2 linked regions of the Tribolium castaneum genome follow. The protein of the gene in region 1 interacts with the protein of each later gene in a biochemical or structural test. Links are inferred from orthologs where the notes say so. Each region holds a gene or a part of one and is shown in the gene's direction. Other genes may lie near its edges.

The links.
Region 2: the proteins of mini-chromosome maintenance complex-binding protein (region 1) and Mcm5 form a complex in vitro, tested with the Homo sapiens proteins (2 studies listed by BioGRID). The link is inferred for Tribolium castaneum from reciprocal best matches to the Homo sapiens genes MCMBP and MCM5.

Annotation. Positions count from the first base shown.
Region 1 is NC_087394.1:35,481,139-35,485,519, forward strand, and holds mini-chromosome maintenance complex-binding protein, read left to right. Parts: upstream 1-1,361; 5' UTR 1,362-1,569; coding exon 1,570-1,659; intron 1,660-1,708; coding exon 1,709-1,891; intron 1,892-1,941; coding exon 1,942-2,040; intron 2,041-2,084; coding exon 2,085-2,641; intron 2,642-2,693; coding exon 2,694-2,873; intron 2,874-2,937; coding exon 2,938-3,181; intron 3,182-3,229; coding exon 3,230-3,397; intron 3,398-3,444; coding exon 3,445-3,642; 3' UTR 3,643-3,699; downstream 3,700-4,381. Other genes in the region: vacuolar fusion protein CCZ1 homolog, read right to left, coding at 8-297, 352-527, 574-780, 828-921, 969-1,066, 1,111-1,185; ciliary microtubule inner protein 2B, read right to left, coding at 3,887-4,119, 4,362-4,381. UniProt on the Homo sapiens protein: Associated component of the MCM complex that acts as a regulator of DNA replication.
Region 2 is NC_087396.1:20,945,320-20,949,143, forward strand, and holds part of Mcm5 (DNA replication licensing factor Mcm5), read left to right. Parts: intron 1-861; coding exon of another isoform or gene 862-872; exon of another isoform or gene 873-1,242; intron 1,243-2,372; coding exon of another isoform or gene 2,373-2,497; exon of another isoform or gene 2,498-2,808; intron 2,809-3,211; 5' UTR 3,212-3,337; coding exon 3,338-3,492; intron 3,493-3,538; coding exon 3,539-3,794; intron 3,795-3,824. Other genes in the region: Pli (protein pellino), read right to left, coding at 2,373-2,497. UniProt on the Homo sapiens protein: Acts as a component of the MCM2-7 complex (MCM complex) which is the replicative helicase essential for 'once per cell cycle' DNA replication initiation and elongation in eukaryotic cells.

The DNA of each region.
Region 1 (4,381 bases):
AACAAACCTCTCATAAATAAACAAACGGACGCACTTAGCGCCCTATAAACCACCAAGTTGTAGGACTCGGCCTTCCCTGAGGCAAATAAATAAACTTTGGGTATTTTCCCCACATTTTTGGCTGTTTTTAAATTTGTAGGTCCCGTAATGAAACGACCGTGATGTAATGCAGCAAAAGGTGAAACAGAATTACGGGGCATTGAGCCCCCTTGAAGTTCAGCCTCCATGTTGGCGGGCAGTAAAGTGCCAATTAAATATTGGTACACAATTTTCATGTCTTTGGGTTCAAAACCGCTCCTTTGAATTAGTTATTACTTATAAAACAAGTTTTAAGTTATTTGAATTAATTACCATATGAGATGATCGTTGTATAAGAACGCTGTGTACGCAATTTCGGGATACTCGCATTCAAGTGAATTGATAAAACATTGGACTTTTAAAAAAGTTAGTTTGTCAAGAGGCAGATACTGAATTCCGTGGAACACGTTCAGAATATCAGCATGCCCTAGTTTTAAGGTTTTCAGATACTGTGAAGTATAAATTAAAATTTCTTAAATAATCTTGTTAACTTACAGCTTTATAGAAACTTTCAAGTCTTGTTTTAAGTGTGCCCACATCGTGGTTCTCAATCGTGTGTTCAAAAGTGCCCCAGAAAAGTCTATACGTGTAATAGGCTTGTTTTAAGACGGCTTCGTAAACATTGTCTTGTACATCATCCTCGAGATATTCGATTTGAGTTGAACTGTCCTTCCCCTTAACTTCGGTTGGTAAAGTTAACGTCTATAATATTTAGTGCTTAAAAGTATTGATTAAAGATGTGTAAATACCAAAACAATCCACATATTTTTTTCTGGTTGGAAATACAATTGACGCATTTTTTGCGTATGTAGTGAATTCACTGGAGTGCTTGGTTTAAATGTGCTACAAGAAATCTTACAGTTTTTTGCCCCTTATCTCAAACACTTTACCCAGTGAATTGAATGATCCCCTCAACTAACCCCACATTCTTTATTTGTACATCGGCATTGTCAGATATTGGATAATAATAAAGAATTTTTTTCAGTTCCTGGAAAAGACATTGTGATTGTGTTCTAAAAGGGGCGTACGCACCTCCCCTTCCTTGGGGCCATATAGAGAATTGAAAATAAAAAAGTTTTTTAACTCCACGTCTTTGTTTTTACTCATAATTCCGGTTCGAAACTTATTGAATAATATTATGTTTTTAGAAACAAATTTTTCAAGTCCAAAATTTTTACTAGGTTATGTTATGTTTAGCAATATCCATTGATCCATATTATTCATTTGCCATACATCTCAAACATTAAAAATACGCGGACAGGTACCAAAGTACCTACTTTTGCCGTCAGTTTTAGAACTAGAGCATATCTATTGTATAATTATTCCTTCCTCAAGTGTCTTTAATATTTTTTAAAGTTGTTTGGGATTAGGGAAATTGCAAGTTGCAACGCAAAGATTGACATATAATTTGGCGCCAAAAAGTGTAACCCTTTTTCGAGGTTATTTTCGGGTGTTCCTTTTTCTTTAAAAATAATAATAACGAGTGCAAAAATGGACTTATTAAACTGTAGGCCCGACCAATGGTACCTAAACGAAACGAAATATTCGGAATTACTTCAAAACGAACAAATCTGGAATCAGGTTAGAAAGTTACACTTTTACAATTTTTGAACACTTTGTACATTGTTAGATTCCACTGTTGAATGCAAACGAGCTGCACAATTTCCAAGACTGGCAACTGGTTCGCTTCCAGGGCATGATACAGGATATGCACGGTCCCGAACTCTACTTGGAAAAATTCACTGTTACAAACACTGAAACTGCAGAAAGTACTATTAAATACGGCAAATACGTTGATGGTGCAGACTGTAAGGTAAGAGTAATTTTTTGAAAGCTATTCGGGGGCTGAGTATGTGTTGACAGTCTAATGAAACCATTGAGGAATGTCCCTCAACCACTCCAAGTGAGCGGCATGTTTACGTTGCAATTTCAATCCCTGGTATTAATCCATGGGTTCATAAAGTGAGTATTGTTTTAATTGAGGGGTTGTGTAATAAAAAAATTAGCTTGAGGAGGACAGGTACAAACTACCGTCTACAAGCTCTTCAACTTCAGTGCACTTAAAACGACCCGTTGAAGAAATGGAAGTCGCTAGTGCAACTGAACCATCAAACTCTAACAAGCGCCCATGTAATCAGTCAGCACAACCTGCAGAAACAACACCTGTTGTTTCCCAAGAGTACCTTTTAAATTTCCCAATCCCCAATCCGTCTGGCAAAGTATGCCACTTAAAAGTATACAAAGACATGGACAAGATTAAATTGAACTCAATTTGTGAATTTGTGGGCTTTTTGTCCCTCAATCCGCTTTTAGGGGCTAACATTGATGATGATATGAACGGTCTGGAGTCTCAAATTCACAATCCTCCTCCGTGTTTAATTCCTAGAATTCATTGTGTGTCGTTCAAATCATTGACTCACAATAATCCATTAGTTACGCACGAAAAAATGAGCGCTGATAAAATGCAGATCATTAGAAAAGAACTTTTGATTCTATTAACACAATTAATGTGTGGAGATGAATTGGCAGCCGAGTATTTAATTTACCACTTCATTTCTAAAGTGTAAGGGAATTCGCACATTTGATTCTGCTATTTTTCACGTGTAGACTTTTAGCTACTTGCGGAAAGATTTAATGGCACTTGGAAAATTTTCCTTAAACATTTCCAACGTCCCAATGCTTGAAAACATTGATTATGTCCAGGAAATTTACAAGTTTGTAGAGACCCTCACTACCAAAAGTCATTATTTGCCGATGTTGCTCGAGAATATGAATGAGCTCAATTTTGTTCCAAAGTAAGTTCCGTAGCACCGTTATTTCAGTTTGTGTAAAATGATTCTTCTTGGCTTGTTTTTGAAGAAAAGACTACAGTTCGGATCGTTTAACAAGTAGTGTTTTGCAATTAAGTGATAATACTCATTTGGTGTTGGACGAGACGAAACTAACTCCGGGAAAATTAAACGAGGGCGGAGTTACCGGAGTTCGCGCTCTTTCAAACACCATCAAGAACCAAAAAATCATGTACGATTTCACGTACTATCAGCTCGAGTATGATTGTGATATTCCGTTTCTTGTGTTTTCTGAAGGCAAATCAATGCTGCCGGTTTGTACTTATCACTTTGTTAAACAGTTTTGAAAAAAATTTTTCTAGAGCGATGTTCATGTAATTCTCAAACCAGAAGAAATGCATTTAAAGACTTTCAGCGAGATTCTGGAAGCGGCAAAACATTTCCTCAAACCTGAGCTGCTAAATGATATTCGACTTTATCTAACTAACGCCCGGTTGACCCAATATGACTTATCAGACGGTGTGCTTGAGGTAAATTGCATTTTTTGGTGTCAATTATCAGGAAAAAAAAATTGTAGATGGTCCAAAATAAGTTTGTTGAAATGAGACAAGCTGGTAACATCACAGGAGACGATCTTCACAGTCTCCTTGTTTTGGCGAGACTTGTTTGCATCTCACAAGGAAGAAACACCTTGGATGAGGAATGTTGGAAGAAAGCGTGTGCCTTGGAAGAAGCCCGAAAAGAAAGAATAAAGAATCGCAGTTCCGAGAAATAATTTAAAAGATGTGGTTTTTATTTTCTATTTTCTGATAATAAATTGTCACTTTTTAAACATTGTTTCAATAAACAACCAAACAAAATACGATTACAGTACAACCTCTTTAATCCGAAGAACACAGTGCAAAGTTAATTCGGATTACAGAGGTTTGACTGCATATACATTTGCGCTTTGTGATATTTCACAACAATGAAACACTAAAGCTTCTATTCTCCCTTCAATAACGTTGCCACAAGCAACATTACGAAGTTTCTACTCTTTTGTGAAGATTTTCAAAGTCTTGCAAAACTCCAACGACTTGGTTTTGCGCCTTCTTCAAACTTTGTATCCTTTCTCTTTCCTTCTGTAACAGTGTTAGTCCTCTTTTTACGACTGTATTGTAACGCTGAGACAGCGATTCTTCGTTCCCTTTCACACGTGGGATGTGTCCCGTGTATCCGGCAATTGGTGGATAATCCGGAGAAATTTTATGATCTGCAAAATTAGTCAAGTGGGGTGTTATTTCCTCAGAGAATTTCGTGAGGGATTTTCCTTTGTATTAAACTATTTTATGGGCTCATCTAGCCATAATAAGTTTACTTAAAGTATATTTTAACTGTTATCTCAAATCGAGTATCAAATGTATTTCAGAATGGCTAAGATTTTTTTTCTGATAATACCACCAGTTTCGCTGAATCTTTTGTTGTGAAAATAGTAGATTTGTATCCGATATTTACCTTGGAATTTGTGTTTTTCA
Region 2 (3,824 bases), on another chromosome or scaffold:
CTTATCAAAAAACTCAGAACTCAGTATTTTCGACCATAGTTGGAAATTATTTGCCGTGTTGGAAGGAAATTTCGCACAATAAGTGAGTTTTTGAACTCAAAATAAAGTAATTCTTGACGTAATTATATAAATGTTTGGGTTAAAATGCAAAAAAAAAATTTGCTTGTGGACTTTGCATTAGTTCTCAGTTCCACTACTCTACAATTTGTAAGAGTGACTGGTATTTTTCTGTTGTGATTCATTCAGTTTCTTGCAATTTGTGACCAACTACCTCTAGAATTAATCTTTGGTTTTCAGTCCTTAATCTTCGACTTGGAATATTTATTATCTTGCGAAACAGATAAGCACTTCCTCTTGTAAAACTCAAACAAAATATCGTCAAACGAGGTTAAAAACTTGCTCAATTTTGTATGAAAATCTCAATTACTCACGCTAATAAGCACGTGCATCATTAATAGCTATTTGTAATGTATAATTCATGAAAAACATGCTACGACTACACCAATGAGATCACTGATAAATGGTAATTAGAAATGTACAGTCGTGACCGAGAATTTTGGCCAGGCCGGCAACTAATGGCCAAAACTTCCTAGCGGTACTGTACCCACATGTGACCCAAAATTGTCTAATTTTTCGATCACGTCTTAAGGCACACCGTTAGGAAAAGTGGACTTTCGTCCCTTGTTATTGTCAACAACACGTGTGAACGCCCCTTTAGCCAGCGATAAAAAATCGCCGATCGTTGACATTTCCAGTGACAATCAGGCGTCGCGATGGCCCTTTGTCGTCATAATAATCGCACAAAATCAATAATGAAGCGATTAAATCGTGATGAAGTCCCCTCGTGGTGCCAGTACCCACCTTTTCACCATTTCTGAAGCCGTCTTAAACAGTTTGGCTGCGATTGTCGTATTCGAAACGCATAAAAATATCAATCACTGGTGTCGTTGCTTCACTAAAAACATCACTAGAGCCGCCGATTCGTGCATGTTTATCACTGGTGGCACACGCATTCACTAGGCACGGCCGTCTTCGTTGCACTGGCGGACGCTTTCACGGAGGTTTCGCACCGTTTGCGATGAAAGCACGACTTCCAAGGGGAAAAACACGCACGGTGATGCTTTTCCACGGACACTCTCCGCACTTTTACCGATAACAATGGCGCGGTGGATGGATGTCGATCGTGGGGGACGTCGACGGTGGGATGTAAACATTGGGCGAGTGCTGACATCTGCTGGGACCGGAAGTGAAAAAGCGAAATGACAGACGACAGTGGCGGGGTGCACGATTTTGGCGAATTTTTGAATGTCTTTATTGACGATTCATCGACCAAATCTATTATCACCTTGTCAGCGTAAATGCGAAATGGCCTAATGCAAAAAAGGCGGTGGGAAATTGCAATGGTCAGGGCCGGCTTTCAGGAGTACCAACGCTACCAACATGGTGTCGGAATACATTTTCTCTTTGTAATTTTACTGAACTAATAAATTAATAAATAAATTAAATTAATCAGACTTTAGGGTGTAACAATAGACATTATAAAAATTTGGAAGATTTAGATCAAGATCAAGAAAAACTTGTTACCAGTGAAAACTATTTTATTTCACTTTAAAGTGACAAAAAAACATCGCGGCTAGACATAATTTTAATCTACAGGGGTGCCAAAGAAAGTCTTTCTTTGGCATCTTTTTTTTAATAATATGCTCCAAGGAGCGATAATTTAGTACTAAAAAGAAACACTCTGTAGAGTTATTATTTACCGAGAATGACGAGAATTTATTACGATAATGAAGTTTACAAATCGAGCCGTATCCGAGCTTTTTTCGCGTATACTCACAGATTTAACTAAGATAAAAGCAAAAATGAACAAAATTGCTTCTGAAATGTGGTATTTTTCCCTATTTTTAATATTTCTATCGGGTTAAAGCATTTTTCGTCTATAGAATTTCTCTAAATTTTGCAAAACAAGGCCAACAAATATCAAATTCACGTTTGAAATACGATATTGTTTTAAACGATCGGTTTCAAAAGAAAATATAAATAAATGTAAAGGCCCTGATAAGGTTTTTGCTAAAGTGTTAATTGGCACTATTTACTCACCCTGAAAATTAAAATTGTGCATGTTCATTTTTTGGCTGCTGGTAATTTTATTATTTGAAAAAAATATTGGGGCCTTTTTTTCAAAATTCTGAAAAATTTAGCTGACTAATCATAGGCAAGGCCAAAGTGGTGAAATTCTCACATTACCTATTCAAAAATTAAGTCTTAGGCAGTTCATAGTCAACCATTCTTATCACATCGTTATCAATATCAATGTCACAAGAAGAAAGTAATACAAGAAAAACAAACAACAAAAAACATGGCAAACTTACAACTTCATTTTCTTAATTAGCATGTTATTATCCCCAGAGTCACTAAAACACCACTCAATTTCGCAATACACTTTAACTAAAACTTCAGTGGAAACTTCCTTCGGTTCCATTTTTCTCTCGTCCATTTTCCGGCCGTAAAGTCACCACTAAATATCAGAAGACAAGTCACGACAACCACCGAATCGCGCAGAATATTATAGGAAAGAGTGGAAAGATCCATTCTTGTCATGACTTTGCGTCGACAAGTCAAAACAAAGACGAGCACAACATTTTCGCAGATTTTGCTCTGTGGAGGCGAAATCTGGCAGGTTTTGTGGCACTTCCGACTAAGCGATTGGTTCGAGGATGAATCAGCGCCCAACATCCACCAATCTGACTGGTTTCAACTTGTTCAAAATACGCCAGTGGTGCGGCCTAGATCTGGGCGGAGATGATGCAATTTGAGGCTGGAGGGGCGCAGAAGTGCAAAAATTTTTTCACCCCCCTCGTCAAAAAAAAATCACATAAAAGAATTTTTTTGAATCGTAAATTTAAAATCGAAACAACGTCCGGTTCAGTTTCTTTCATGTTGGGTCAGATTTATTTATTTTTATTATTTTTACCCAAATTATTCAAATGCCATTTTTTTGGAACTGTCAAAGTGACACTGACAATTTTTGAGCTAATTCAGTGATTTTTTTGATTTTTTTTTGCTGAATTTTTGCGACATTATTGCGTTTTTTAGCAAAAAATGAGCCAATTATTATTAACAAAGGACAGAAGCGGCAAATTAAACCAAGTTCATAACTTGAAAACGTTCGAAATAAATAAAGAATTTCAAATTTGAATTTTTAAACCAGTTTTAGTGAATTTGTGGCACCAAACGTCACCACTAATGTTGGCAGCTTTGGCGCAAAGTTCCCGCCAATTTACTTCCGTGTAACAACAACGCTTTATTCGCCACAAAATCGGTGTTTTATACGAAAATGGAAGGTTTCGATGATCCAGGAGTGTTTTACAGTGATAATTTCACGGTTGAGGACAACCAAAGCGACCCCCAAATCAATTTACAAGGTGTTAAGAAAAAGTTCAAGGAGTTCATCCGACAATACCACACCGACAATTTCAGCTACAAATACAGGTCTGTTTCCAATTTATTGCCAAAAATCACTGAAACCCCCTTATAGGGACACCCTGAAGCGCAATTACAACCTGCGCCAATATTACCTGGAAGTCAACATTGAAGATGTTGGCGCTTTTGACGAGACGTTGGCCGACAAACTATACAAACACCCGTCGGAACACTTGGTTATATTTGAGGAAGCGGCCAAGGAAGTGGCCGACGAACTCACAGCCCCACGTCCCGAAGGAGAGGAAGCAGTTGAAGACATACAAATTATGCTGTCTTCAGACGCCACTCCGACAAACTTAAGGAACATGAAAGTAGGGTTTTTTCGGGGGTTTACCGCTTTA